Linked DNA regions of Danio rerio. The protein of the gene in region 1 purifies or fractionates together with the protein of each later gene. This does not show direct contact. Links are inferred from orthologs where the notes say so. Each region holds a gene or a part of one and is shown on either strand. Other genes may lie near its edges. The genes, in order: uqcc1 and uqcc2.

What was found.
Region 2: the proteins of uqcc1 (region 1) and uqcc2 purify together in Homo sapiens (co-immunoprecipitation; 3 studies listed by BioGRID and IntAct, counting the BioPlex papers as one, with this or other methods). This does not show direct contact. The link is inferred for Danio rerio from reciprocal best matches to the Homo sapiens genes UQCC1 and UQCC2.

Annotation. Positions count from the first base shown.
Region 1 is NC_133181.1:55,284,228-55,300,782, reverse strand, and holds the start of uqcc1 (ubiquinol-cytochrome c reductase complex assembly factor 1), read left to right. Parts: upstream 1-6,120; 5' UTR 6,121-6,203; coding exon 6,204-6,278; intron 6,279-8,735; coding exon 8,736-8,846; intron 8,847-13,358; coding exon 13,359-13,466; intron 13,467-16,254; coding exon 16,255-16,327; intron 16,328-16,555. UniProt on the Homo sapiens protein: Required for the assembly of the ubiquinol-cytochrome c reductase complex (mitochondrial respiratory chain complex III or cytochrome b-c1 complex). Involved in cytochrome b translation and/or stability.
Region 2 is NC_133181.1:43,122,516-43,139,152, forward strand, and holds uqcc2 (ubiquinol-cytochrome-c reductase complex assembly factor 2), read left to right. Parts: upstream 1-6,548; 5' UTR 6,549-6,677; coding exon 6,678-6,815; intron 6,816-7,282; coding exon 7,283-7,357; intron 7,358-7,492; coding exon 7,493-7,562; intron 7,563-9,994; coding exon 9,995-10,101; 3' UTR 10,102-10,391; downstream 10,392-16,637. Other genes in the region: si:ch73-15b2.5 (rho guanine nucleotide exchange factor 19), read left to right, coding at 1-161, 4,044-4,196, 4,284-4,413, 4,534-4,608, 4,683-4,775, 4,847-4,998, 5,107-5,271, 5,624-5,666; tomm6 (mitochondrial import receptor subunit TOM6 homolog), read right to left, coding at 6,106-6,202, 6,314-6,408; tspo (translocator protein), read right to left, coding at 11,801-11,977, 14,220-14,358, 14,486-14,658.

The DNA.
Region 1 (16,555 bases):
ATTAGGTATACCTTACTAGTACTGGGTTGGACCCACTTTTTCCTTCAGAACTGCCGTAATCCCTCATGGCAAAGATTCAACAAGGTACTGGAAATATTCCTCAGAGATTTTGCTTCATATTGACATGATAGCTTCACACAGAATTGTCAGCTGCACATCCATGATGCGAATCTCCTGTTCCACCACATCCCAAAGGTGCTCTATTGGATTGAGTATCTGGTGATTGTTGAAGCCATTTGAGTAACTCATTGTGATGTTCAAGAACTCAGTCTGAGATGATTCACGCTTTATGACATGGTGCTGGAAATAGCCATCAGAAGACACATGGTCAGCAACAATACTAGGTACAAGATGCCCGATTGGTACTAATAGTCTGAAAGTGTGCCAAGAAAATATCCCCCACACCATTACACCACCACCGCCAGCCTGAAACATTGACACAAGGCAGGATAGATCCATGCTTTCATGCTATTATTGGCAAATTCTGACCCTACCATCCGAATGTTGAAACAGAAATGGAGACTCATCAGACCAGGCAACGTTTTTCCAATATTTTCTTGTGTAATTTTGGTGAGCCTGTGCAAATTGTAGCCTCAGTTTCCTGTTCTTAGCTGATAGGAGTGGCACCCGGTGTGGTCTTCTACTGCTGTAGCCCATCTGCCACAAGGTTGGATGTGTTCAGAGAGGCTCAAAGTCACTTAAATCACCTAAGCTGCAGTATTAGGTAATTTGTTTGTATGACTATATGGGCGACATTTTTGGGGGTGGGGGGGGGGGGGGGGAGGGGGGGGTTGGGGGTTAGGACGATTCTACGGCCCCATGCCATGTTAGGACACTACAGCTCCCTACCCCGCCTTCATCCGCAAAACCCCCCATACCTCACCACCCACCAGCCCTCATTCACTTCATCTGCGACACCATCGGAATGTTCTCATGGGGCCCATACCGGCCAGCGCTGCCCCTGACTATAGTTGTTATACTGTCATGGCAATCTGACGTCATGTTGATCTCCTGATCCAGCTGGGGAGTTTTCACATTTGTTCATATTAAACAGAAGAAACATGACTCTGCTGTTACCTTAAATAAATTGAGAACAAACAAAAAATGTAGAGTAAATAAAAAAAATAAGTTTTTGCAGTTAAAAGCAAATGTAAAAAATAAAGCCACAGATTATGAAAACTGCTAGATAAAAAAGTGCTTTTCGAGGAGACACTTTTATAGTGGTTAAAGATGCAGATGTGAAAAATAAACTACCAAAAGTTCACATTTTGAAGAAAAAAAATTACAATGCGAGATATGACCCAGCAGACACACAATGTCATAAAACGTTAATATTAGGTTAGATTTAAATCGCCAGTGTCTAGGACAATGTTATTTTGACGTCAAACAAAGACGTGACGTTGATTTTAGGTTGTGTCAGAAAGTGACTAAAATCCAACGTCAAGCCAACATCTTAAACCAACGTCAAATTGACATCAAATACTGACATTTATTCATCAGATATGGCAACTAAAATCCAGCAACTGATAGACTTCATATTGGTAACGTCCACACAACGTCAAGCTGTAACATCATTAGACGTTAATATGTTGTTGATCTTATGTTGCATTAAAAAGTAACCAAAATGCAATGTCTGTCCGACGTCGGACATTGACGCCGACCTGATGTTGGACCTGACGTAAAACAGATATTTATTTCCCAACAAAACGCAACATCTCACAATGTTGAGGTACGATGTCAATCTGACGTCATGTTGATCTCCTGTGCCAGCTGGGGAGTTTTCACATTTGTTCATATTAAACAAAATGTAGTGAAAAATGTGAGAAATAATCAATAGTGAATACAGGAAACAAGTTGAAGAGAAACAGTCCCAAATAAGAAACATGACTCTGCTGTTACCTTTAATAAATTAAGAAATAAACAAAAAAATGTAGAGTAAAAAAATTAAGTTTTTGCAGTTAGAAGCAAATGTAAGAAATAAAGCCACAGATTATAAAAACTGCTAGATAAAAAAGTGCTTTTCGAGGAGACACTTTTATAATGATTAAAGATGCAGATGTGAAAAATAAACTACCAAAAGTTCACATTTTGAAGAAAAAAATTACAATGCGAGATATGACCCAGCAGACACACAACGTCATAAGACGTTAATATTAGGTCAGATTTAAATCGCCAGTGTCTAGGACAATGTTATTTTGATGTCAAACAAAGACTTGACGTTGATTTTAGGTTGTGTCAGAAAGTGACCAAAATCCAACGTCAAGCCAACATCTTAAACCAACGTCATATTGACATCAAATACTGACATTTATTCATCAGATATGGCAACTAAAATCCAGCAACTGATAGACTTCATATTGGTAACGTCCACACAACATCAAGCTGTAACATCATTAGACGTTAATATGTTGTATTATAATGCAAAATAAAATGCAATGTCTGTCCGACGTTGGACATTGACTTCGGCCTGATGTTGGACCTTATGTCAAACAGATTTTTATTTCCAAGCAAAACGCAACATCTCACAACGTTGAGGTACGATGTCAATCTGACGTCATGGTGTGCATGCTGGGGAGTTTTCAAATTTGTTCATATTAAACTAAATTTTGTGAAAAATGTGAGAAATAATCAATAGTGAGAACAGGAAACAAGCTGAAGAGAAACAGTCCCAAATAAGAACCATAACTCTGTTGATACCTGAAATAAATTAGGAAACAAACTAAAATTGACATTTGTATTTATCTGTCACCTAAAAAAGCTGCCAGAGTTTTGCTGAGGTGACCTTGAGCGAAGCAGTAATTCTTTCATAATGAACTGTATGCTGCTCAAAGGCTGTTAAGAAAATGACATTTAATCTGTGCAGAACACACAACCAAAGCTGTTGCAGTCCCACATGGTTTGACCCAGCGCTTTGCTTGTTTTTTCAGGGATGGGTGACATAGGGATGAACAACATTTCGGCCGTTCCTCAAGAGGCCCCTTCACCTCCTCTGCTGTTTCCTGAAGGCATAAAGGTGCAGCAGTGAAAGCTAGACAAATATTTCACCACTAATAACGGTGACATTCTCCTTCCCGAGCACAAAAAAAAGAGTGACTTGTGACATTTTCAGTTCAACCTCCACAGCTATGAGGAAGAAACAAAAAAGCGACGCAAAGACAACTCCAACATTACCTCATGCACTCCCTGCTGTGAAAACATCCCGACTTCAAAGTGTTTTTGGTACTTTTACGTGAGGAGAGGGTCGGAGGGGGGGTGATTTTTCTTAATCGTTCATGCATAAAAGGGCATTACATATTTCTGTGATTTTTGGATGCACTCGGGCAGGAAGTTTCCTCGATGCCCGGATGATTTTAAACAATTTGTGGACGCGGCAGTGTGTAGTTTTTGCTTACTTTGTGGCTCGGGAGCTGTGATGCCAGGTACTTATTGGACATTAATCTTTGGAACAGACTGGAGGCAGTCGTTCGTCATCTGGACTGATGTGATTTCTCTGTTTCTCTGCTCTGCCAGCAGAAATGCCACTGTCTGACATCATCGAGCTGCGCACCTGTCGCTGCCAAAATGCAACACATCCCTCTGAAATGCAATTCAGACTGAAGCTCTGCTGTAAAATGTTGAGGACTCACAATTTAACAATATCCCCAAAAAAGTATTTAACCAATTGATGCTGTCTTCATTATTAAAATAATCTTGATTAGAGTAAATGTAGCATGTGGGGAAAGTTAGCTACTGTATTTTAGTATTTTAAAAAACAAACAAAGAAAACAAAGTAAAGAATTGTTCTCATTTTCATTTAGCTAACACATTGACGCTCAGGCATTTTGTCTTGAGGAAAAAATGCCCCTCAAAATGAATGAAAGTGCTCCCCGCTCTTATATATACCCGACAAAGTCCTGTCGTCTATACAAGTTTTAGGAACAACAAATAATAACTTGACTTCTAGTTGATCATTTGGTATCAGGAGTGGCTTATATGAAAGGCAAAGGCCTCTACAATACGCTTATTTAACCAAAATAAAATATAATCATGCCTAGATTTTAAAATATTTATTAGGACAGTGAGGTCTGACTTTGCTTTGACATAAGTCTTGCCACTTCACAGAAATAATGTACAGTATACTCCTCCTTCATCTTACCCCAGACATGCTCAATAATGTTTATGTTTGGTGACTCGGCTGGCCAATCCTGGAGCACCTTGACCTTCTTTGCTTTCAGGAACTTTGATGTTGAGGCTTAATTATGAGAAGGAGCGCTATCCTGCTGAAGAATTTGCCCTCTCCTGTGGTTTGTAATGTAATGGGCAGCACAAATGTCTTGATTCCTCAGGCGGTTGATGTTGCCATCCACTCTGCAGATCTCTCACACACCCCCATAATGAATGTCACCCCAAACCAAGAGAAACTGCAGTATTTGTGATGATTGGGATGCAGTTTAACAGATGATTCATCAGAAAAATCTACCTTCTGACACATTTCCAAATAATCAACTAGAAGTCAAGTTATTATTTGTTGCTCTTACAACTGGGATTGATGACAAAACTTTTATCAGGTAGTTTATAGTCAAATATCTTGATTGTCTATACACACATCCTTAGTGGTTTTCATCCCTAGTGGTCTGTAACTTATTTTCCATAGCTTTTATGTACAGTTGAAGTCAGAATATTTCCCAAATTATGTTTACCAGGGCAAGGATATTTTCACAGTATGTCTGATAATATTTTTTCTTCTGGAGAAAGTCTTGTTTGTTTTATTTCGGCTAGAATAAAAGCAGTTATACATTTTTAAACGCCATTTTAAGGACAATATTATTAGCCCCTTTAAGCTATTTTTTAATAGTCTACAGAACAAACCATCATTATACAATAACTTGCCTAATTACCCTAACCTGCCTAGTTAACCTAATTAACCTAGTTAAGCCTTTAAATGTCACTTTAAGCTGTATAGAAGTGTCTTGACAAATATCTAGTAAAATAATATTACTGTCATCATGGCAAAGACAAAATAAATCAGTTATAAGAAATTAGCTTTTAAAACTATTATGCTTAGAAATGTGTTGAATAAATCTTCTCTCTGTTAAACAGAAATTGGGGAAGAAAATAAACAGGGGGTCTAATAATTCAGGGGGGCTAATAATTCTAACTTCAACTGTATACATTTATAAAACATTTTCACAAAAGAGACACAACAACAATCACTAAACTAAAATTATAATGAAATAAGAAAATAGAGAACTTAAAACCTACAAAAAATAGTACAACTGGTTAATATAATTGCTGTATAAAACATGACTTTTTTGTCATTTTAATGTATATAATATAATATGAACATTTAAATAAATGTATTTCCATTCCAAGTGAATAATAAATTGCTTTATAAAGTAACTTTATAATATTAATAACAATATAAGGAGTGGAGAATCACCATTATAATAACTATAGCCTATAGAGATTAATGCAAGATTGAGGTAAAGTTGGTTTTATATTCACAACTTTGGGGTTCAATAAACTATTTATGTAGAAGTTAAAAAGGTTAATACAGAATTATTACAATGACGTACTGTTATGAGCACAACGTGATAACTTGTGACATATTCCCTATATTGTTTACCACGATATACTAAATATTTGGTCTGTAATCATGTAAATATGACTTGAAAACAACATTAGCACTATTTAATAGACTGTGAATGTTGTACTTTGATAGTCATTGGCTGCTATATGATTTCCCCATTTAGAATTACCAAGAAATACCTGTCTGAAATTATATTAAGATGGTAAAAGTCCGAATGGGCTGATATAAAAACCAACTTTAACCCAATTAATGCAAGTGTGCTACATTGTTGACGGCAGTCACACTCTGCTCCTATGTATTTTAGACACTAAAATTAAGAGTAGTAGATCACTTAATTGTGTTTGCCAACGATAACACAAAGAGCAGTGATGGTAAAGCTAACGTATACTTTATCAAGCGGTTTTTTGCCAATATTTGCCACAAACTCTCTCGTGTGGAACCATGTAGCACAGCTCTGCATTGCTCTGCTCTGATTTCCACACGGAGCGGTTTAAGAGCGGGACAGATGCTTTGACATTGCTGTAAAAGGGGAGGGACGAAAACAAACTGTTACAAAACGTGTAGGAAAGTATCAGTTACTGATTCCTGCTTTATAGTTACAATAATACTTTATTATTGTGACTTTAGCGGAATCATGTATCGGCGACCGCTGCAGTCCGCCGTTAGACACTTAATAAACGCCTCAGCATCGAGAGCTGTCCTCGGAAAGGTAACGTTAATTATTATGTGTACTTAAAAAGATAATAACATCACTGAAGGGTTTGATATTGGAGCCATTTTAAAGCCTTATCCTTATATACGTGCTAAAAATGTAATTTTAATGTTGTTTTGGGTTATTCTGTTCTATATTTTGCAGCACAATTATGAGCTACTGTAAACTAACCTGTATTGCCCTGTATGAGGAACATTTTATTATACAGAACATTGAGAAAGTGTATTTTCTTCTGCTTGTCTGTACTATTTTCTGAATAATGGAGTGATTACAAAAGATTCTCGTAATCACAAAACCTGTGACTATACTAATATAATGAAACAAGAATTCAATGGAACTAATATAATTACTGAAACATTTGACTCAAATAAAATAAAACAGGAATTTCCAGCTTAATTTAAAACCGTGAACGGATTTTGTGGTTTATTTTATGCAAATTAGCACATCTTATTTCCATATTTAGACGTGTAGGTCAATGTTTTAGAAATCTCACACATCCCAAAATGGGTTCAATTTGTGTAATGTAAGCAATTATCACATTATATGGAATATTTTACCCTACAGAACATTGTTTATTTTTTACATTTTTATTTTCTTGTTGTTTGCATTATTTTCTGAATTATGGAGTGATAAAAAAGATTCTCAAAAACAACAAACCTTTGACTCTAATATAACGAATCAAGAATTCAATGAAACTGTAATTTCACCAGCTTGGACCACGCCACACATTGAGCTAGACTTTATTGTAGGGGTGAAGGGGATGGTAAAAGAACAGTGAGATAGGGAAGTAGGAGGATAAACAGTGAACAGGTAGGTAGGTTGATCAGGCTTCCTACGATGATGCCCTAGAGTGGGGGTACCGTCTCTGTTGTGTTTTGGTAGGGTGATTGGACCTCCCAATTCAACCTTGGCCTGAAGAGAGGGTTATAGGATTGTGAATGGGAAGCGAGGAAATAGAAGGAGGGAGAGTGAGTTTGAATGAACGAGAAGAACAGTGCTAGAGGGCTGGTCTGCCTTTAATAAGTTTCAGGGAGTAGGTGATTGGTTAAGGAGACAAAGTGAGGCGTGGTTCCACTGCCGAACCATTGTTAACAAGTTAACTCCATATAATGAAAGAAACTTTTCACTCCAATAAAACAAAACAGGAATTTTCAACCTGATTTGAAACAATGTTCTGAATTTGTACTTTAATTGTATGCAAATTAGCACTAATTTAATTTCATTTGCAAATTTGAACATGTAGGTCAATATTTTAGAAATCTCACAAATACCTAGATCTGTTCAATTCGTATAATGTAATCAATTAACAAATTCTATGGAACATTCAACATTGTGAATTTTTTATTTGTGGTTGTTTGCACTATTATGCGAATAGATAAATGAAACCGTAATATATTGAAAAAAACATTTGACTCTAATAAAACAAGACAGGAATTTTCAACCTAATTTAAAACAATGTTCCGATTTTGTGCTTTATTTGTATGCAAATTATCACATATTTAATCTTATTTGCATATTTAAACGTGTTGGTCAATATTTTAACAATCTCACAAATCCCAAAATGTGTTCAATTTGTGTAATTTAATCAATGAATGAATTATATAAAGGATAATATTCTGTATTTGCTTTTAAATTGTATGCACATTAGTACAAATTTAATCTCATTTCCATATTCAAATGTGTATATTAATATATTAGAAATCTCATAAATACCAAAATGTTTTTAATTAGTATAATGTAATCAATTAACAAATTATATGGAGCATTTAACATTGATTTTTTATTTCTGGTTGTTTGCACTATTATCTAAATCATGGATGAATGAAACTGTTATATAATGAAAGAAACGTTTAACTCTAATAAAACAAAACTGGAACTTTCTGCCTTGTTTCAGATTTGAAACAATGTCCAGACTTTTCCCTTTAATTGTATGCAAATCAGCACACATTTACTCTCATTAGCATATTCAAACCTGTGTGTACTTTAGAAAGCTCACAAATCACAAAATGTGTTAAGTAACTTAATTGTATGCAAATTAGCACACATTTATTTTTTGCATATCCAAACATGTATGTCAATATTTCAGAAATCTCTTACAAATTATGTACAATTCTTATAATGTCATCAATTAAATGGGGAAGTATGTTTTTGTGTGTATTTTTTTTTCCCTGCAGTGTCTTACCTAGGCATAGGCCGGTATAAGATTCTGATGGTATGACAACCTTAGATTAAAATATCACGATATTACTGCGTATACAGCAGGAACATATTAACAGAATATTTTTATGGTTTTAAAACCGTGACTTTTCCAAACTTCTGTAAGCCTTGAAACTAGTTATAGTCCCATGCCTAGTCTTGCGTTTAGACAATTTAGAGTAGTCAGGTATCAGAACTCTCAAATTAATTTTAAAAAATGCCAAAGCACTTGTCAAGTTGAATATGTTTGTTTTTCAGGCCATTGAACAAGTCGTGTGTCAGTCCAGGGCTTTGGTGGCTTGCCGTGTAGCAGCGGATGCTGGAGTCCCCTTTCATTCACAATGCAGAGCTCTTCACAGCACAGGAGAGGTATGGACTGTTTTTTTATTTCAATTTATAACTAATTCATCCTCAGTGCATACCTAGTTAGAATCATAAAATAAGGTCTTCATTTTATTACAGTAATGAGAATGTAATGAGAGTTACATCTGAGAGAACAATATCATAATAAAATGGGCCTTCAGTCAGAGTTTGGTTGGAAATGTCTGCACAAATCGGAACAGTTTCTGAAAACAGGGCTTATTTTAGTGTGTAGATATGCCTGAAGTTTCAAATATGAAAAACATGAGCAAAAAATGTTGTAAAAATAAATCTGCTTTGTTTATCTTTTTTATCATTCATTTACACAACATCCTAACTTCTCAAATGAAGTTGTTATGAGTCTGCTTGATGAAAGGATTTGCGTCAGTATTGTCTACTTTAGGTTGCATTATTAAAAGATCCACGTTACTGTAAATTACACATTTGTTATATATCGTTCCAGTTTAAGGCAAATAAATGTAAAATGGTTGGAATGTATCTGCATTCCTGGAATGAGCTATCCGCTTGTCAAGTGTGAGGTCACGCAAAGCGGCTTCCGGGCACAATCGCTCTATACAACTGTATGGGAAGACTCATGAAATGGTAATTATAAACTTTTACAAAGCGATTTATTACTTTCGAAAATCACGATCGTAACATATATGTCCATGCCTAATATACAATGTCCAGAAAGTTATTCATTTTTTATAAATTGTTCAAATTTGGGTATTTGTTATGCAGCTAGCCCAGAGATTGTTGTGTACATTATGACTTTATATGAAATTAACTTTAATGTGTGATATGAATTAAAAGTGATCTTAAACGAATAATTTCTCAACTCAAATTAGTGGCGGCTTGGACCCGTAAACAGTATTACATACATCACCAACACGTTACGACTTAACAAGCGGATATGTATATGTCATGCTTTTTATAATCTGACAACTTATACAGCACTAATTGTGTGAAGGAAGCTCTGGGAAATCTTGTTATGTGCACAAATAAAGATCTGCTGCCAGGAGATGCACTTGCTTGGCTTGTACTGAACTGCACAGGGCAACATTGCCACTTTAATGACAAAATAATAAGTATGCTTATGCATTCTGTGCTTTTTTGGTTCATTCTGATGTCATTATTGATTTTTTATTTCATTTGAATCACAGCAGAATTTGTTACGTGTTTCTCATCTGCTTGTTTGGTGTGTTAAGTATTTAATGGCACTAATAGACCAATCGCACCAGCAAACAATAATTTGTTAGACTTATTCATTCTTAAGAGCTTGGCAATTCTCAATATTTTGTACAAAGCAAGCAATTCAGATTGTAATTTGTAAGAATTTGCCTTTAAACATTGGAAATTACACTATGGGTGTGTCTCAATCAGCAGCCTTATTCAATAGCCAGTGCACTGATCAGGTCGCCAGCCATTTTAAGAGCTGTCTCAATTTCAAACTTCTTCCATTGAAACGTTATAATTCTGTAAAGTCCCACAATGCACTGTGAAAATCAGGACACATTGATACACCCTATGTATGCCCTCTTAACGGAAGTTTGAAAGTGTGAAATATGAACAGTGTTTACTCTATTTTTTTAAACAGATCTACCAACTACCTGTGGCGTTATTATATTAGTGACAAATGTTGTGAGCGCAGTATTAGAAGTCGGGATCGCATTTATGTAATAGCCAACGACATGCGAATCTCTGTGCTTGCGCGCCAATTTCCTCTGCTCGTGCATAAAACTTCTTGCACGCCCCCTCAAATATAAACCGCTTCAAGAGCGCGCAGATCTTCATGTGCGATTTAGTGCGTTTATGTAACCAGTATAGCTCCAGCATTTATTAGATTTGCTAGGAATATTTATTAATGTCTCTAATAGACCTACAGAGTAGCATTAATGTGTCCTGAAGTAAAGTGAAAGGGCTATACGTCGTGTTTGCTGGCCTCAAGCATCATGCACCTGTCAGCTTGTCAGTCAGTCAGTACATCACCTTAAAGGGTAAACAAATGACGCACAGCACTACTACGGTTACAATAAAGTATTCGCTATTATAATTCACTTACCCTTCAATACATTTTGGTGCGATTTATTACCCGTTATTAGTGGTTGAAATGTTGCTGGTATATGAAATAATCAATTTATTTAGCTTCAAAGCATTTGTTAAAACGTGTTAAAATTAATATATGAAAATGATTAGTTCCACTGTTTATAAACTCCAGTTTTTATGTTGTAAAATGAGGATGTTCCCATGTCACACCCAGTGTGTCCCAATGTGTTGTGAACAAGGCTCGTTAGTGCCCTTACCAGTGCCCAAATTTTAGGGTGAAACAATACCCCCAAAATATAATTAAAAAAAATTGTTCTATTTGTGTGATTGCACTAATAGAGCAATCACACAATTCAATCAATTCAATTCAGTCAAACCAAACCTACCAAGTGTGAACACAATCATAGCGAAAGTTTGTTTACTTTTTTATCTATATTTTTGAGTGATTAATTAATTAAATTGAGTGGTTAATTAAACTATCCAAATCGCACAAATGGCATGGGAATTATATTGCCAAAACATCAGGGGCCTCATGTATGAAGACTTGCGTGGAAATCATACTAGAACATTGCGTACGCACAGAGCTGTAAATGTGCGTGCGCATAAAAAAATTAAAATGTTTGAAACACTGCGTACGCCGAATCTCACGCATATTCTTTTGTACATCCGAATGAACGTGAAACTGAGCGCAACATGCACGAGCACAAAACCCCTCCCTGCCTCCGCCCCCGTATGAATATGCTAATGACTCTACTTTGGCAAAACCCAACGAAAAAGCAATGGCAAAAGCAAGCAAAAAGAGAAACTTTGAACAGAATGTGAATTGGAGGTTCTCCTTTCGGAGGTAGACCGGAGAAAAGCGGTGTTATTTGCAAGTTTGTCCTCCGGACTTAACAACAAAAGAAAAAAATAGAGTGGGAGAGTTTAGCTGATGCGGTTAACACAGTTGGGTCTGAACATCGCACTGAGTGAATTAAAAAAAGAAATAGTGTGATTTATAGGTGTAAAATGTTGCAGTACCCTTAACAGTCTCAGTGGCGCAGCTCGTAAAACGCATGTCAACATGTTTTGAGACGTTCGAGCTTGAACTCGGTTCGAATACAGCGTCTGATGAACTCATTCTTCTTTCCACCCCCTACCCCCACAAAATATCAGATTTTGCCAACTATTTATCACGAGAAAGACAAGTAGGAATCATTAATAAGTCTGTGCATCATATTTTATTTATTAACACAACTGCCTCTAGGAGTCGCCAATGGAAATAAAACAAACACGCACAAAAAATGTGCGTACGCCTGCCATAAAGCTGGCGTGGAGCTGCGCACATTCCCACGTTCAGTTCATCGTTAGAAAATCCAAACGTGAGCGATTTTGAGCATGAAACCTGGCGTACGCAAAGTTTTTGTGCGTACGCAGCGTTGATACATGAGGCCCCTGGACCCAGGTGGCACAGTGACGCAGTATGTCGCCGCACAGCAAGAAGGTCGCTGGTTCGAGCCTCGGCTAGGTCAGTTGGCATTCCTGTGTGGAGTTTGCACGTTCTTCCTATGTTCGTGTGGGTTTCCTCCGGGTGCTCTGATTTCCCCCACAAGTTCAAAGACATGAGCTATAGGTGAATTGGGTCAGCTAAAGTGTCTGTAGTGTATGTGTGTGAATGGGAGTGTGTGGGTGTTTCCCAGTGATTTGTTGCAGCCGGAAGGGCAGCCACTGCATAAAACATATGGATAAGTTGGTGGTTCATTGATTTCAATAAAGGGACATAGCCAAAAAGAAATGAATGAATGAATGAATAAAACTCTGGACACTCCAAACTAATATAATTTTAAATGTGAATAAATGTATTGACAGCATATTTTTCGACAGAACTAATTTCAGTTGCAGATTTTGCAATTTCGAACCAGTTTTAAAGATTTTAAGAAATATGTATTCTCAAAAGTGTGCAGAGGTTTGACATTTGTTATATGTTGGCAATAATCATTTCCTCCCGGTGCGACCCCAAAGGGCAAGTGCTGATTATAGTCTACTAAACTTCTAGTCTACCAGAAATCCCACTCAATGCAGTAAAACATAAAAATCTTGTGGGAAATCCATCGGGAAAGGTTTTATTGCCTTCATAGAAGTGCCTTTAGGGAACTAGCTGAACATTGCGATACCTCCATAAACTGTACCCAGGTAGAGTTTAGATTTACAGGGAAATTATTGTGAAATGCTGATCTTAGACTTCAATAACTGATGGATTTGACACTATAGTGGCTGTTTGCCAATATTAAAAACAAGAACTCTATAGGTCCTTCAACTTTAGTTGGTCTTGTAACCTGAGTTTGTTTTTTCTAAATGCATTCTGTTATGTATTATGTTTCAACAACAGTGACCTGAGTTTGTCTTTTTACCATGCGTTTACTTTGCAAGATGCCTATTAGTTTGCCATTGTTTTATATTATGGCTTTAAATGAATTTCTGTGTTCTGTTTTGAAGCTGTGTACTGTTAAAGAGACCCCGCAGACCACAGATGAAGAGGTGGGAGCCTTCACCAAAATGATTGAGGCCATGGGCTTCACCGGACCCCTCAAATACAACAAATGGGTAAATAAAGCCGCTCATCCAGTGCTTCTAAGCAGTAGATGACATTTGGTATTTGTTAGTCAAGATGAAAAGGTATTTTCAAGCATCAGAGTGTAATAAAAGTGAAATGCCGCTTTAAATCATGTTTCTTCTCATGAGGAAACAGAACTTTTTTTTTACAATGTCAGTTTAGTTGCCAATTTGTATGAAAATGTACGATTTTTCAAAGGAGGCGTGGGACCAAACATCACCCCTAAACCCAGCTGTCATTGGAAAATGAGCAGATTGTACTAAAATGTATGAATGAGATCGTACAGTTTCATAATAATTAGCCACTAAATCAAAAAGTTATGAGTTGGCATGAGATCTAACATGTCCTGTTTGGAAGGAATGTCTATAAAATAAAAAAAAAAAAAAAATATATATATATATATATATATATATATATATATATATATATATATATATATATATATATATATATATATATATATATATATATATATATATATTAATAAACAATTTAAATGGGTTTTTAAAAATGTTTTGATGTAGTTTTGTTTTTACACACTTATCTTATTATGCAGATATCAGATGTCTTTGACCCACATTATTTTATGCAAGAATTGAGATAAATCTGTAATGTGTTTTGCTTAAAGATGCACAAGAAATGCACAAATTAAGAACATAATAAATGGTTCTTTTTAAATTAACTTATGCATTAAGAACCATATTTTTTACACATTGGTGTCAAATATTTTTTTTCGTCTACAATAGATCCTTCTCACTAGATGGTGGTCATGTTTTACCAATCATCAGCATCTTAAATCCTTGAAAGTGTTTAAAGTACACATAATATCAAACTAACCATATGATTTTGTTAGCTCATATTGGTAGTTATGTGGTGAACACTTCATCTGTGCATGTCATTAAGAGGAAAAATTTTAAAGTAAAATATGATAATGCACTTCCTGTTTGTTTTCAGTTAAATTCTTAGATTACACAATTTTGCTGTGTTGGGCGTGGCTAACATACTTAACCACGCCCTTCCAGCGGTCAGTTTTGACAACAAACAGAAATGGTGAGAAGAAGGCATCTGTTAAGTTGTAATAACTCTTCTAAAACCCTTTTTCTGATCTTTCTGAATAAAATGCCGACTTTACTACCATCATTCAGACCACTGATTTCTCATTTAATATTCTGTTTCTCTTGAAACTGCATCACGTAATTGAAAATGCATTGCATAATCTAGGTGTTTCTAATGCAGCATCTTTTGGAGGGACAGTAAATTTAAAGGGAATGTAACATGCTCACTTTGCCAAATCTCATATTAATCTCGAGTGCGTATAGAGTAGGGTGATGCGATTAATTAAGATCGAATCGTAATCCCAATTTGAAACGTTGCAGTTAGTTAATTGCAAGAAGCTGCGATATGAAATATATATTATTTAACTTCCCCCACCTAGAGAAAATGCGTGACTGCCGTTTGTGTGTGACAGTTTTACTAGCCAATTAAGTGAGCACACTTTTGCTCTGCCCAATCAGAATTGCGCAACCAAACTATGCGGAAGCCCACAATAAAAAAACAAACAAACAGAAAAGCACGGACGAGTGGGATGATGGGATCTGCTACTTCAGAAGCATTAATAGACTAATTAAAGTCAAAGGAATACAGCACGTCAGTAATATGTAAATATCCTGGTTTCAAAGTCACAAACACCAAAGAAAACCAGGTCATTTGTAAGAGCTGTCACAGAATTGTTGCCACAGCACGAGGAAATACAACGACCAGCACATTAAAAGCACCACAGGTTGTTGTATGAGGAGCGTCGTGCAAACAAATTTGACTAAAAGTACTGCCAGTCACACTCAATCTAGTAACAAGCAACAGTAAATTACAATTTCAGAGTTGTTTGCTAACATAAGTTGATATCTTTTAAGTTCCTTTTTTAAACTAAGAATCACTGCATTTTAGCAGTAAGAAGCTGCAATACAGGTTATTGAGCTGAAGCTTGGCTACAAAATTAAATTGCAAATCAAAATCGCAATATCTGTCAAAAAAATCAAAATTAGATATTTTCCCCAAATCGCACAGCCCTACTATAAAGTGGTACTGCATGCAGTTTTCTCAGAAAATGTCTTTTTTTATATATTTTTCAAACAAAGTTACAGGTTTCTGATTATATTAGTCTTTTTTTTTTTTTAAAGAGAGAGTCATAAAGGCAAGTTTTTCTTTTTTTATTTGAGTAAATTAAAATGAAATTTGTGGTACTCTTCACTGCTTTTTAAGTGTACCCAACTTTGATGACTTAAAATATGAAAAAAATATTTACAATTAATCGTTTCCTTCTGATTTAGTGTATTTTTCTTGTGTCCACACCTTGAAGTGAAGGTTGGCTGCTGGCTGATGACTTCATCTCATACGGCTACCTGTTTTGTGTTAAAAGCGGGGCCACACTTTGGGAAGTCTGAGATGATCTTCCATGTTCCCGTCATCAGCATCACAGCTGTCTAAAAATCCTTCTGCGCGTCTGCCTCATTTTGGGGCAGTCGATCAGATCAAAAATGTGAACGCCACTGCGCCTTTCCCAATTTGATCAGTTTCTGCTTTTGATCACAATTTATTTAGTTCAGTTCGACTTTACTTCTATAGCGCTTTTATAATGTAGATTGTGTCAAAAGCAGCTTAACATGGAAGTTCTAGCAAATCAAGTCCAGGTCCAGTTTTCAAAGTTGAAGTTCAGTTCAGCGTAGTTTAAATTAGTGGATTTAATGAGTGACTTTTTGATCATGTGTTTTTCTTTTGCAGAAAATTAAGATCGCCGCCTTGCGCATGTACACATGCTGTGTAGAAAGAATCAACTATGACGAATTTTTTGAGAGTAAGTATTTTTTACACTGAGACCACATTATGGCCTTATGAGTCTTATGTCATGCTCATTTAAATTTTTTTGAAGAACTCCTAAACACCCTTCTCTTTATCCCAAATGGTAAAACGAGCGTAAAGGGACCTTTTCAGCAGCACCTGAAAGATTTATGTGGCACTTTACAGCTGTGTTATGTTGTTTTCTTTAGCTGAGGAAAAAACAGGTGTAAACCCAATAGCGGTT
Region 2 (16,637 bases), about 12 Mb from region 1:
GCCATGTTTGAGCTGATTGTGTCCGAGGCCTCGTATCAGAAGAGTCTGATAGTAGCGCTGAATGTGTTTCAGTGCTCAGCAGAACTCAAACACATCCTCACCCGAGTACAGCATCATGTTCTGTTCTCCAACCTAAAAGATGTCTGCAGAGTCAGTGAACGGTAAGGATAGTCACTCGGGTTAGCAGTACCTTCATTTGATATGTATAAATGAAGTAATATCTAGACAGGGGTGCTCATTCCTGTTCCTGGAGATCTACCTTCCTGCAGATTTCAGTTGCTGCCCATATCAAACACACCTGCCTGAAATTATCAAGTGGTGTTCAGGTCCTAATTAATTGGTGTGTTTTGATATGGGTAGCAACTGAAATCTGCAGAAGGGTAGGGCTGCGTCCGAAACCGCCTACTACTCAGTAGGTACTGCATTTGAATTTAAACGTACTACTCGGCCGTTAGAAAAGTATGTTCTATACAGTATAAATGTGAAAAGTATGAATGGAATTCGGACATACTACACCATTTTGACATAGTCATGTGACGTACCTGCGTAATTTAGCGTCGCTTCACTCCCATTCATAAATTCACTCGCGGGCCATCATGGGATAGCGCATTATGCATGGGATGTGCACTCCAGAATCTCACGTAAAGTAGTAAGTCATCCGAGTACTTCTCGCATACTGGTTTTTGAATTTTATGAATTCGGACATACTACTCGGCTCACATACTGATTTTAGCATACTACAGTCTATAGTATGGAAGTATGTGGTTTCGGACGCAGCCACGATCTCCAGGAACAGGATTAAGCACCCCTGATCTAGAAAGCAATTCATAGTACAGGGTGCTTTCAAAAAGAAAACCACAACTTTGAAAACCGAGAACTCTGCAGAGTAGAAAACGAGAGCGAAGCTCTTTCTGTCTTTGATTTAAGGAAGCTCCGTTTCACATTGAGGAACTAAAAGAAGAAATAACTGCAGCTAGCCAAAATGTTACGCCCGAGATGCTACAGAGAGTATGAAACGAGTTTGAATATCGGGTTGATGTCACCAGAGTATCTTAAAGGGGGTCATAAGGAACATCTATGAACTTGTTTTCTACTTAAAACAAAAACTTAAGTACTCTTCATGTTGATTAATTACCCAAGGTTCCATCATGTTAAGTTAAATAATATAAAATTATATAATTTTAACTGGCAAGGCAGTGGCGCAGTAGGTAGTGCTGTCGCCTCACAGCAAGAAGGTCGCTGGTTCGAACCTCGGCTCAGTTGGCGTTTCTGTGTATGTATCCGTAGTGTATGAGTGTGTGTGTGAATGTTTCCCAGAGATGGGTTGTGGCTGGAAGGGCATCCGCTGTGTAAAAAAACTTGCTGGATAAGTTGGCGGTTCATTCCGCTGTGGCGACCCCGAATTAATAAAGGGACTAAGCCGACAAGAAAATGAATGAATGAATAATTTTAACTGATTTACAGAAGATGCTCACGAAAATGTAATTGTATTACAGTATTTTATATACAAAAAAAAATTAAAGATATTTCATTAAAGAATATAATTTGATCACAATTCAGCTCCAAAATTCTAAATTAGTGTCATTTTAAATCTTTATACTAAATATAGAGGGGTTGGACTATGAATTTTAAACATGGCTAAATTTGACCAGCCTGGTGACCAATCTTCATTGATTCAGAGTTCATCCAGTAAGGCTGCGGTCACGCTAGACTTTTCTCCCCATAGACCTCCATTCATACACACGCAAATGCGTCAGACCGGAAATGCAAGCTCATGTGACAAGTTTCGCAGTTCGCTGCATTGCAAAGTTCAAGCTTGGTGAACTCTGATCTGAGAAATCGCATCGCTTGACTGCGTGAGACCAATCAAAGATCAAAACATGACCTCTCTGGACCTAAATTTAAAATATGAACCAATCAATCACTCACTTTTTTTAAATGTCTAATCATCTTGTTTAATCCCGCCCCTTTTTGCAGCGCCATACTACAGATTTTCACAAGCTCAAACTCTAGTGTCCTAGATGTCCTTCCAAGAGGAAGGGGGTGGAGGTGGGCATAGATTGTTAGATAGATGTCTTCTTTGTGGCTGTTGATTTAATTGTAGTTGATGAACACATAACAGGCGGAAAAGGGAAACTCACAAGAGCATCAGAAGCAGGGGATTTGAAAGGTTTATTTTGCAGATTATTATTACAATTCTCCAGGTTAAGGTCAGCATACCACAAAGAACAACTAACTACATTCAAAAGAAGTAACCATGGACTCCTAAGGAAGCTGTTTGAAATGGATTTCCAGTTGCTAAACCGGGATTAAATCCAAAAAATGTAAAACTACAGCTGTCCAACTCACTGCAGAATTAAATGTGCACCTTAACTCTCCTGTTTCCTGTCGGGAGCTCCACAGGGTCAGTATACATGGCCGGGCTGCTATAGACAAACCTTTGGTCATTCGTGCCAATAGAGTTTCAATAGTGCCAGCAGCAAAAATTTTGGCTGTGGACAATGTGAAATGTATTTTTCTTTGAGTCTGCCTTCATTGTCTTTCCCACATGTGGGAGGGTTACAGTGTGGAGAAGCTCCAAAAAAGTGTACCACCCAGATTGTTGCATTCCCAGAGTGTAGCATGGGGGTGGATCAGGGAGGGGCTGGGGTGCAATATTATGGCATTTACTAGACCCAAAACTTGTGCTAGACTGCCAAGAAATACCGAACCGAATGATGATGCACCAATACACACAGCAAGAATGGTGACAGTGGTTTGATCAAGCAAGTGAAGTTGAATATCTTCCATGGCCTGCACAGTCATCAGATCAAAATATTATTGAGCCGCTTTGGTGTGTTTTGGAGGAATGATTCAGGAAATATTTTCCTTTACCCTACTGATTCTACTAAAATGGCTCAAAATCCCTCTGGCCACTGTGCAGGACTCATATCTGTAACTCCCAAGACAAACTGATGCTGTATTGGCTGCAAAAGGATGCCCTACACCAGGGGTGTCCAAACTCCGTCCTGGAGGTCTGGTGTCCTGGAGAGTTCAGTTCCAACCCTACTCAAACACACCTGAACTAGGTAATCAAGCTCTTACTAGAAACTTCCTGGCAGGTGGTGTTTGAGCTAAACTATGCAGGACATCGGCCCTCCAGGCCCGAGTTTGGACAGCCCTGCCCTACACCATATTAGTAAATTATTGTGGTCTAAAACCAGGCGTTTCAGTTTCATTGTCCAACCGCTGCACTTATAAATATAGTCTTCTTCATTCAAAATCTCATTTTTTTTTTTCTCCAAAAGTATTTTTATTGAACATATTAGATATGAAACATACATTACAAAATAGCTTTTCAAATTTTTTTTTTTTACACAACAAACAAACAAAACCTGCCGCACATACATTTAGGTTCTAGAAAAAAATATAAATAATATTGAGAAAAAATGCAAATAAATAGTAATAATACGTAAAGCATATGTTACTCTCATTAATAAGGGGAGAAAAAAGAAAATACAAAAAATTGAAGAGAAAAGAAAAAAAAAATACAACAAACAAACAAGGAAAGGTTCTACTCTTCTAAAATGACTGAGGGGTCCATCTTTTTTACGTGATCTAAAACAGGTTGCCAGGTGAGAAAAAACATATCAGTACAGCCTCCTAAAGTGTATCGTATTTTTTCTAAGGTCAGGTGGTGTAGAAGTTCCATAAGCCATTGCTTAAAGGTTGGAGGAAGTTTTTCCTTCCATTTCAGCAATATTAATCTTCTAGCTAAAAGCGTAGCAAAGGCAATCACATTTATCTTGCTTTTGTTAAAACATAAGGACTGTGGTGTGATTCCAAAAATTGAAATTATGGCCTCAGGTTCTACATACGTATTTAATGCGTCCGAGAGGAATTTAAATATTAGCTGCCAGAATTTCTTTAATTTTGAACAAGCCCAAAACATATGAGATAAAGTAGCTGGCTCAATGTTACACCGGTCACAGTTAGGGTCTATATTTGGTTTAAATTTTCAAAATCTAATTTAATGCAGGACATGTTGTCTTTGGTTTTTGTAGGTTTCTGCAGGACCTGGAGTCTCATCTCAGGCAGGATGTGGTGATGTCACAGGTTGGTGACGTTGTTTTGAACCACCAAAAATCCTTCCAACAAGTCTATGTGCCGTATATCACCAACATGATGTACCAGGAGGCCCTCGTCACTCAGCTGCTGTTTGTTCCGTTTATATATTTCCACCAAATTCAGCTTCAGTTTATCATCACAGCATTCTGATCGATATTTTGCACCCCCTCTACCAGACAGGAAAACAGGAAATTTGCACCAATCCTAAAGAAACTAGAGAAGGACCCACAATGCCAGAGACAGACGCTTAAGTCTTTTCTAATTCTTCCCTTTCAGAGGATCACACGAATAACTCTCTTGCTTGAGGTTTGCTTCCCTTTTTAATAGGTCAGGGAGATGTTGGATATTAGTGGTAAATGGCAAATACACCAATTGGTGGAGTAGTGAACGTGATTATTTATTAGTTGTTTGTGTTATCTGGTTTAGAATGTCCTCAAGAGAGCTCGGGGTGTTAGTCTCAATGTCCCTAATGTGAAGGAAGCCATTGAAGCTGTACGGAAGGTATTACAAGTCATAAAATAAAATAGATTGAGTTCATCTGCTGTTAGGATTCATAATTCAATTTCTGATTGTAGATAGTGGAAGAGTGTGACACAAGAGTCCAGAAAATGAAAAGAACAGAGCTGCTCGTTTCTTTGGACAAGTTAGTGGACTTCGGAAATGTCAAGGTACAAAATATCTTGAGTTCTTTTTTATGCCTCTGTCAAATTTGTAGACATATTTTTCTTTTTTTCAATAGGCTGTTCCATTAATCACCAGAGGACGTCATTTGGTTCAGGAGGGAACTTTGAAGCAATTAATAATTGGTGGCAATCACAAGGCATCTATAGTCTCTCGCAAAGATTTATACATACACCTTTTCAATGATCTTTTGCTCCTCTCTGTTAGAAGGTATGATCTGCTGCATGATTTCCATTGACTCTTTAATTTAACGTTTTATGTGTAGGTGTGTCTGTGTATGTATAACCAATTTTATTATCTTTTTCTTCCTCTATTCAGCGGACAAAGATTCCTTGTGCAGGACCATGCGTTATTTCCTGATCATGTACGCGCTGAGGAAATCAAAACTACTATTTTGGGATTACCCTCTGAATCCCTCCTGCTTCATCTGACTAAGAAGCATAATAGATCGTCCTCTGCCCTGATACTTGCTGCACGCAACGAGTAATTAGTCTTGGCAATGGTTCATATTGTGTAGAACTAAGGGTTTACAAAATTGGGGGCCACAAGGCAGTGCTTAGGGGGCTGTAAAATGTAAAGTTAATTATTTTTGAATAAAGCAATAAATGAATGGATTTAAAAATAATAATAATAAGATAAATGTGCTGATTGAGAAAAGAATACATTTTAATTTAGATTCAGATTAGAATAATAATATATTTGTACTTAAGTACTGTACTAACGTATACATTGGGACTTTGTATTTAAAAGAAAGCTGGTGTATTTCAAGTTTTCTTGAGTGAACATTTTGCTTTTAGTTGTGCAAGTAAATGTTTGTTTTTCTTTCTGTTTTTAGGTTGGAAAAAGAAACCTGGATTAAAGCTCTGTCATCAAAGTAGGAGACTGCCATTATGGGAAAGCTACGAAGGATGTTCTTTAAGGAAAGAATCAAACTGTGGATCATAAAATAGACATTATAATTCATGCTTTTAATTTTTTTGGAATATTGTTCTGATAGTGTGTATATTATATATTTATTATAAATAAATGGCTGTAGGAAACGTTTTAACATGAGGTTTATTTCAACAAAACACAATGCATATACAGAAGAAATTTACAATTTGTAATCATCCAATTGTTGGGATTTATTCCCTTCGCTGTTGAATAGGCTTGTTCAACAAGACCCACTGTAGAAAACGTCTTTCTTCTCCCATTTCAGCACCACCTGTGTTGAAGAAGAAGAAACCCAAGTTAAGTCATGATGAGAGGTGAACGATGATTTCAACAACATTATGCCATTTCACCTGTAAGAGTCCATTTTGTTGTTAATGTGTGGAGCTACGTGACCGGCTGAGGAGACATCAAGTCAAAATCTGAAAGGTTTCTCGCGACCCAAACACCCGCAGCAAACAAGCCCAGGTTCACAAGGAGATTCCTGTAACAACAGCAGACACTTAAAACAGCACATGTAAATCAGATTTTGAGTAACGTTGGTACGTTACATTCGTCGTTTCGAGCCTTCGTAAATTTATAAACCGTGACTAACCTTCTAAAATCATTTCGGTCTGCGGCAAAACGGCAAGCCGAGCTTATCCATCCCGTGACCCCTCCCGATTTCCCTTCCGATTTCTTTCCGCTCATTGTTTTTAAACGTTATAATAAATTATTAGGATTAGCCACACGAAGCATTCAAGCAGAAGGTCTTTGATATTACCTTGGAATTTCTACGGCAAACCACGAGGTTATCGCATTAGTACGGGTGCTCGACGGGGACAACCCGTAGTGAGAGACGGGCGATATCCGCAATGAGGAGTCAATATTGAAACGCCGTACAATTTGTCCCTTCACGGCTTACAGATTTGTACATGAGCGCAGTTGTGAAACACAAATCCTGTAACGTTACTTGAAATATGTCTGCCACTAGATATCGTCGATTTCTGAAGCTGTGCGAGGAATGGCCAAAAGACGAGTCTAAGAAAGGAAGAGATTTAGGGACGTTTTTACGCCAAAGAGTCGCTAGTGCTTTCCGGGAGGGCGAAAATACACAGGTATGTACTGCACCATTTATCCTTGCTGACATTCAAAGTCAAATCTTTCATTGTGTGTGCAGAGATATGTTATGCTATTGAGATAAAGTTGGCTTTATATTCACACATTCGGACTTTCTCATCAATTATTATAAATAGTGACATATCACTGTATGTCAGTGACTATCAAAGTAAGTTACATTATTCAGACAAATAAGTCATGCTAATGTTTTGAATTCGTTCTTGCATGTGATTTGAATTTCACACCCAAAATCTAAAGTACCATGGGGAAAAAAGTTGTCATTGAACGAATGTGCGAATATAAAACCAACTTTACCTCAATTTTGATGCTTTAATTAGACAAGCCTCGGGTTTTTTTTTTTTTTTTTTTTTTGTAGTCTAGTGTTTAATAATCAGTTCTCTTGTACAAACATTGAATTTTATAAATATTACTTTAAGCTATTCGTGCACAATTGTTTTCTATTCAGATTTCAGACCCAGAGAAATGTGATCAGATGTATGAAAGTCTGGCTCGCATCAACAGTAATGTGTACAAAGAGAAGGTGAGTAGTGCTTTTTGGTTTCCTCTAGATGACACTTCTCATTTGGGTTTATTTTGCTAATACATTTATATGGTTTTCATTTGTGTTGACCACATTCTTGAAATGTTACAGTGACTTTTTTTTTTCTCTCTCCAGTTTCCACGAGCAAAAGACACCAGTTTTACAGGTGTGACAGTGGAAGAGTGTCGATTGCTGTTGGCCACAGGTGTGGATTTATACATTATATTGTACAAACTGAGATACACCAGAATTTAAAAGTTGTGAGAAATTTTGCAGAGCTAGATCCATTCCTGCGTCAACATAATTTGCTGATCCTGAAACATGTTACCTGTCAGAAAACTCATTTCAATTCTAATTCTTACACTAAACCCAACCCTACCCATACTGTAAATTATTCCTAAAACCAAAGGGAAATAATAAGTAAATATCAATAATTTGAAAGCACCAAACACTGATTGTAAACCTAAATGTTACATAAACTGTAAACCTTTGTCTCAAATCTGATTGGTTGGCTGGAAGTTTGTTCCAGGATGAACAAAGATGCTGATTCAAGAATATGTTGCACTTGGTAAAATCGGGTTCTGCATGTGCAAAGGTAAAACAAACAAAAATGGCTATATTGTGAAATATTATTAGTATTAGCTTTTTCTGTTAAAAATGATTAAAAAGGTGTTCTGTATATAATGACTATTTTAGAGGTTTTTGTAGATCAAACTACACAAATTATGTGTCTAATATTTTTTAGGCTACATGCAGATATAAACACCTATTTTAGATGAAATGTGTTTTGTGAATACTTGATGTCTATATCGGTGCTATAGATCTGCCAGTTTCAGACTGTTAAATGGTATTTTTCCTAGCATGGATTGGCGTGATTATGCATTTACAATGGTATGACCCGTTATGGGTGGACAGTCAAATATGTTTAAGTTATACATTGTCAATCCTCCCAAACCCCCCTGCAATTCGCACCATCGTTATATATTGTTTAAGACACATTAAACCTTATCGGCATGCAGTATGGACAGCAAGTTAGAATATTATTGTGCAGGGAACCATTACTGTGCATATGGCAATAAACACTGAATCTGGAACCTTTAATGTCACATGATTCTTCAGAAATCAATCTGACATACTAATTTGCTGATCAAGAAAGATTTCTTAAAATTATCATCTGTTGATGTTTTGTGCAGACAGTACTGTATAACAACTGATACATTAGAGATTGTTTTGATCAGTAGAAAGCATTAATGCATTATCTTTGCTCTTTTGGTCAATTTAATAGAATGTATTTTTTTTGTTTGCTTTTGTCATGGCAGTAAACATGACCAAATTTAGGTTAATATTATGTGAAATTTAAAAATACATTATTTTTCCTCCTTTAATGTTAAAAGCAGAGGTACTGCTATACTTATTAGAAAGGATGATCAATTTGTCACTGATAATGTCATTAGTGACATTAATGGTATATATATAAGTGTGACAGGCCGTCTGTTTGATAAATAAGTAATACTGATCAATATTTACGCCCCAAACTTTGATGATTGTTCTTTCTTCAGATTCTTCTGTATTGGAAAAAACCTGAGCCCCCAACACATAGTAGATGGATTAAAGACGTTATGTATTTTATTCAGCTTGAAAAAATCTAATTTACTCTCAGAGGTTCAAAAAATATTTTTTTTAAAACATCGTCTCCCTTTCTTACACACGTTGACAATTTAAAAATTTTTGAGCAGGAGGATATATAAAATCTCATATAATCCCAAAAGACCCCCCCCCCCCCTTTTTTTTTTTAATTAATTAATTTATTTAATTTATTCCTCTTTCACGTCAATGTAACCTTGTAATGGCTTTCACAATTGCAGTGCTTATAAGAAAAGTGTACAGAACCTTCCTTTTATTGCACACTGAACTGTTCACTTTTTATGTGTATCGTATATTTTTTTGCATTTTGTCATTACTGTATTGAAGTTGTGTGTGCACTCTATATGTACATTTGCTGTGCATTTGTGTGACGCTCGAGGACTTTGTTTACAGACTGTTAGCTATGTATATCTTCTGATAAAGCCACAAAAGGGAAAGTTGTGTTGGGGATATTTGTTTATATATTTTGTTTTGTTGTTGTTGACTGATTGTCTTTTTCTGTTTTGTGCAAATGTATATATGTATATATATATATATATATATATATATATATATATATATATATATATATATATATATATATATATATATATATATATATATATATATATATATAACCTTATAAATAAAGTATTTAAAAAATACATTATTTTAAATTAAGTTTTTTTTTTTTTTTTTTTTTTTTTACATGATGTAGAGTTTCTAAATTATGTTTATGACCTGTTGGTCACTTTTTAAGCACAGACTTGAAATTAAGATGTTTAGTTTAAACTGCCCAGTGTCTTGAGTACAAATGTTTGGTTTCTTAAAGACATTTGCCATTATTTTAGAAGTTTATTAAAGTTTTTGTGGCAAAAGGTATGGTATGAAGACTTGTTTAAAACATTAAATGTGGTGTCATGTAGCATCTTTTTAAATGTCTTTTATTGAGCTATGTATAGTGGACAAAAACATGAAAAATAAGTAGGTAAATGATGTTGTCATTTGTTTCAGGAAGCATGCAGCAGACAGATGAGGAGAAGAAGGGATTGTGGAAGACCCTAATGGAGCGCTTCTCCTCCAAACCTGAAGACGTACCCCCTGAAAAAGCTGAGAAATAACCTCCATACTGTATAGTTCTTATTTATTCCCCTTTGCACTTTCACAGATAGACCCAATAAGGTGTGTATGCAGATCTTCACTTTAACAGCTGTAGCTCTCCTAAAGTCGATGGTCGAAACAGAGAGCTCCAACAAGCAAAACCAGTGATTTTTGTTGGAAGAGCTGCTGTAGGGTTTAAGAAATGTGACAATTCAGGAAACACCGTATTCAGTTTTATAGAATATTACTTGCATATTATTTTTCTTGAACCAGCAGATGCCAATAAATACTTTTTGTATTTCCCTTTAAACAATCCTGTGTATGTTTTGACTTCAAGTGGAAAAACCTGAATCCTTTTACATACACATTTTGTGCTCCTACAGCATGTTTGGTTTACTTCATGCCTTTAATTGCCACAGATGTATGTTCATGGTAGGCAGGGCCACTTAAAGAAATCCTCATTTGAATGCTTGTTTAAAAAAAAAAAGACTTCATTAGGTGTTGCAGATACAGTTGAAGTCAGAATTATTAGCCCCTATTGGAGTTTCTTTTTCCTTTCTTTTTTTGATATTTCCTAAATGATGTTTAACAGACCAAAGAATTTTTCACAGTATGTCTGATAATATTTTTTCTTCTGGAGAAAGTCTTATTTGTTTTATTTTGGCTAGATTAAAAGCTGTTTTTAATTTAAAAACATGTTAGGGACAAAATTATTAGCCGCTTTGAGCTAAATTCTTTTTTCGATAGTCTACAGAACAAACAACCATCGTTATACAATAACTTGCCTAATTACCCTAACCTGCCTAATTAACCTAGTTAAGGCTTTAAATGTCATGTTAAGCTGTATAGAAGTGTCTTTAAAAAGATCTAGTTAAATATTTTTTTACTGTCATCCTGGCAAAGATAAAACAAATTATTTATTAGAAATGAGAATATTTAAACTATCATGTTTATAAATGTGTTGAAAAAAATATTCTCTCCGTTAAACAGAAATTGGGAAAAAAAATTAAACGGGGGTGAATAATTCAGGGGGGCTAATTAATTCTGACTCAAAGTGTACATTACTAATGTATTTTAATGAACATTTAATGGCTAATTGTGTATATACCATGTTAGTTAGATTGGCGGTAGCTAAGGTAAAATAAAATGAAAATAATTTAATTTAGTTTAAATGTGCTTATTCATGATTAGGGTAAAAATAAATGCAGTTGTTCATTAATGGGGCTTACTTAACAATGTGAAATAACTGAATGCATGTTGGGGGATTTTCTGGCTAATATTGATAACATGGCCTAATCTGTGATGAAGCATGTTCCCAAAAGATAGATGGTAAAAGCCTCCTCTGCCTGACCACCACCCTTGTACAGCCACAACACTTCATGACCAGAACTTAATGTTTGTGATAGAAACCACATGCAGTGTGCTTTAAACATGTTTATTTAAGGAAGTTAGCAAACAGTTGATTTGAAGAGCAAATAAACTGATCTAAACATGAGTAAATAGGTGCAGTGTGTTAAAAAATAATTTATGGAAGCATTAGAGTATTATTTTATTGCGTCACCTCTTCTACTTAAGACATCCGGTGAATTACCTTGCAAGTGAATATAAAAAAAATTCAAACTCTTAATTAAACATTTTCAGAAATGCCAACAAGTAACAAAACAATCATGAGTGCATTTATTCTTCTTAGTTGTGTTAGCTGGAATAGTGTTGGGCTCTTCAGTCTTCTTTCTTGGGCTCTGGGTTGTCTCTCCAAATACAGTAGTTGAGGCTGGTGGCGACACACAACCAGGCCATGTATGGCACCATGAGAAGTGTTGCAGTGCGGCTGATGGGATACCAGGACACCATTGTGGCTGCCACTGTGCCACTCATCAACAATAGCTCTATCAGTGCCTAGATATAAAAGAAAAACAGAAGAGCACCACAATGTGTTTTTCATTTCAAATTAATGAAGCAAATAAAACTGTCAAATTTCAGAAGTATGTTCTAAAAAAAAAAAAAAAAAAACAGAAAATGACAACAAAAGAAGATATTTTGAAGAATGTTCAAATCTGTTTAGCCTTGGCTTTGTTTGCATCCACCAATTTTTATGTGTACTTTAGGATACCACATAAAAAAACCTACAAATATTGAATTTTTCAACTCAGATGAGTCAGATGAAAAGAAATTATTCAATAGATAAATGCATATTAACCATGATGGAAACAAAATTTCCAAAGAAGTTTGGCAAAATATAATATACCAGTATTTATTCTAATTTTACAGATTTCATCAGATAACTAGACAAACCAATGGACTGATCTTGTCTCGCACCAAATGTTTTAACAGTTCTGCAAACACCTGAGGAAAATTCTATCCTCAAAATGAATTTATCAATCGACCATTTAGCACGATAACAATAAAACCTCAGGCATTCACCTCTAAACTGATGTGTGTGCTTGGAATATTTGATAAGAACGGGGAAAAAAGTTCTAAAATGGATTGGCTTATTGCAGGGACGTCCAAACTCAGTCCTGGAGGGCCTTATCTCCAACTTGCCTTAACACACCTCCAAGGATATTTCTAGAAAGCCTAGTAAGAGCTTGATTAGGTAGCCCAGGTGAGTCTGATTGGGGTTGTAACTAATCTTTGCAGGACACCGGCTCTCCAGCACCAAGTTTGGACACCCCTGGCTTATTGCATGAATTATTTTAAATAATAAATGTAAAGAATTTTATTATTAATCTATTGTGCTACTTTGCCAGGCAGTGATATTTGTCTCTTGAATGTGTGATGAAAAAGTTGCTTTAATCATTGAATGGAGAAAGCTTATGTCATTGCGAATTGAAACAGTCACCGACATTCTTCAAAATATATTATTTTGTGTTGCAGAGAAGAATTATCCTAACTAAACAATGACTGAATTTTCATTTTTAATTGTGATTATCTTTATATTTTTACCATGACAATGTACCTGAAAGATGAATGCTTTTTTGAAAAGCTTTGACTCTCTATAGTCAAAAGATTCCCTGTCAACACAAAATCGTAATGAGCATTGCAGGCCACTAGTTTATGATGTCACTCCTAAAAGAAACACTACGGGTGCATCTGAAGTTGCACACTTCCCTACTATATAGTATGTGAAAAACAGCATGTGAGCCAACATAGTGTGTCCAAATTCATAGTATTTAAAAAAACAGTACTCAAGAAGTATTGATAAATTGTGGATGTAGTACATCTGAATTCCACTGTTCTCGCATTTATACTATATATAACATACTTTTTGAACAGTCGTGAACATTTGTGATTTCGGACAGCTTTTTATAGTACATGTGCAAGATTGAACACGTAGTACACACCCACATGATGTCAGCATATTCACAAAATCACTAGTAGTTTGCAGCGATGAAATAAAGTGCACTTTGAACACACATTTTTTGCATTTTCAGGCTTCCAAAATACCATTGTCATGTTAAAAACTGCATAATATTCCCTCCTTTTTTGAGTCTGATAAGATCTCATTAGTACTATATGTGGAGAAACAGGTTCCTGGTTTAACTTTTAAAAAGTTGCTCCATATTTTAACTTGAAATACACTGAAAAAATGGACTTTTGTTGCTAGTTCAAAGTACTTTTTTAAGATAAAATAAGTTGAAACAACACCATTCTTAGCCAAAATCAAACAAAAAGTGCTCAGGGGTAGCTTAATTATTGTGTTGGTGCTCTTTGAATAAGGGATTCACCAAGATAAACAGCAAAAGTAAGTTCAAGGCACTCGAAAAATGTGGACAAAGTATTAAAGAGCCTATATTGACATGGCTATTCCTTAAAACTGCGCCTACACCTTTCAGCAAACACTTGCCACTCTGATGATGGCAGGAGTTTGCTGAAACACATAGGTACAGTTTTAAAGAATAGACATGATAATCAAGGCTCTTTAATACTTTGTCCACATTTTTTCGAGTGCCTTGGGATTGTTTTTGCTGTTAACACAATTCTTATGTTTGTTTTAGGACACTGATTTGTTTATTGTTCAATCCACATACAATCCACATATATATAAAAATTAATTAATTTGTGTTGGGACAACATGAAGTAATTGTGTGGAATGCAGCATTTTATAATACAATTTCAGAGTCTCAGAATAATGTCTCACCAGTTGAATTTTGTGTGCACCGAAGAAGATGGGGGTCCAGGCCCAGTTAAGTGCCAACTGCAGCCCATAAAGCCCCAATGGCACCATTGCATCCTGGGTGAAGCCTCCAAGCTCTTTCCACACAAGGTATGAGCCGTACCTTTAAAAAAAGATGGAAAACTGTTTACTTAATCTGCAGTAACTAGTCAGTTATTAACTTATCTACAACTTCCTTTAAAGTTTCTAAAGTGTAGCATGCAGAGTGAATGCCTACTGTTTGAACGTACCCCATGCCAGTGTAAAGGGTGGTCCACACCACTGGGAAGGCAGCATTCGGTGGTCTCCATGAGGGTTTATTGAGCGTGGAGTACCAGGTCTTAACCTCCCGCCGTGTGATTATACCTCCAAATATCCCACCAACGTGAGGGAGGGCAGTCAGGCTCAGCATAGGAATCCACATCCTTTCAATACAAACAGGTAAATTAAGGATTCTGAGCAACTGCCTGTGTATGTATATTATATACAGTTGAAGTCCCCCTATTTATTTTTTTCCCTAATTTCTGTTTAACAGAGATTTTTTCAACAAATTTCTAAACATATTAGTTTTGATAACTCATATCTAATAACTGATTTATTTTATTTTTGCCATGATGAGAGTACATAATATTTTGCTTGATATTTTTCAACCCACTTCTATACAGCTTAAAGGGACATTGGAAGGCTTAACTAGGTTAATTAGGTTAACTAGGCAGGTTAGGGTAATTAGGCAAGTTATTGTATAATGATGGTCTGTTCTTTACACTATCGAAAACAAAGTAGCTTAAAGGGGGCTAATTTGACCTTTAAATGGGTTTTAAAAAATTAAAAAACTGCCTTTATTCTAGCCGAAATAAAATAAATAAGACTTTCTCCAGAAGAAAAAATATTATCAGACATACTGTGAAAATTTCCTTGCTCTTTTAAACATAATTTGAGAAATATTTAAAAAAGAAAAGAAAATTCAATAAGGAGCTAATAATTCTGACTTCAACTGTAACTGGTTTGGAATGGTTGCTCTGCACCTCCTTCTCCATGTAACTTTTAAGTCTGACAGCTTATCTACCCAGCAAGGAGGCCAACAGTAGCTGAGGGTTCATTTCATTTGCAGCACAATAATAAGTACAACTCACTTCTACTTATTAACAATAAATGCGATCATACACTCAAAAAATATATATTTTTGCTCGTTCAAACTACTTAATTATAATAAGCTAAAACAACACTATTTCATTGGGACAACTTAATTTATTTATGTTCAATCCAAATAAATTTTTTAAATGTGTTAATTTAACTTAATTTGTGCTGGGACAATATGAAATAATTGTGTGTAACCCTGCATTTTTTTACAGTGTACATTAATTGGGAGATTCTATTGCAGATTATTTCCGAGGACATTTTTATTTAGTTTGACCTAAATCTATAATAACCAAAACTAAAATTAAAACTGAAATCAATCAATAAATAAATGAACATAATTAAACAAAAAACAGCCATTATAAATATTGCCTCATTAAAATAATAAAAAATAACAAAAAAGACAACAACCCTAAAATGGCACAAAAAACTGAAAATTAAAAACAATAAAATTGTCTTTTTTAAAATAATATTTAAAATAAATAAAAATAGATTAATATTTGTAATTAAAATAATAAAAACCGTGATGAACAAAAAGTCCAATATAAATGAACTACAAAACAATGAACTTAAAATAAAACAATCATTTAAAATAGAAATACAAATAGCACAAAAACTACCAAACTACTGCTCACAATCCAATTCGAAATGCTTTATCTTAAATTATCTTGAATGAACTTTTAGCAAACATGAAAAACTTTTGGTTGACAGCCAGTTCAGTTTGTCCCTCAAGTGGGAGCGATTCTGCGCATGGACCCAAAACGTGTAAATGTAAACGAAACCTGAGTACATGTGTAGAGCTTGACGAGAAATGTTACATATAACCCAATACAGACATTTTATATTTCGTGCAAGGGATATTAAACTGCATGAATTGGTCGCAAATGTTAGTCACGCGCTTATCGTTACATTACTTAACGCGCGCGACAGACAGCTGGTGGCGTTTTGTTTACAAATACTACGCCTGGCCAGTCAGATAATTCAAATTAATCGATTTTTTCACAGCGTAATCTTTTTTACCTCAACTGGAGAGTCGTGAAGCTGCTCGATGTGAAGAAGAGACCGGTTTGGACAGCCTTCTATGACCGGAGTGATCTTGAAATCCTGATATAAGTTTGTGTAACAGCCAGTGGGCGTGTAGCTCTGTGCTGCTGTAGAAACAATGCTCGGACTCTCTGGCCAATAAGGAGAGGAGCGTAAACATCTGCCGCTTCCTCGTGTTGTGAAACGATCACTCAGCATAGTACTGTACTGTACTGTACTGTA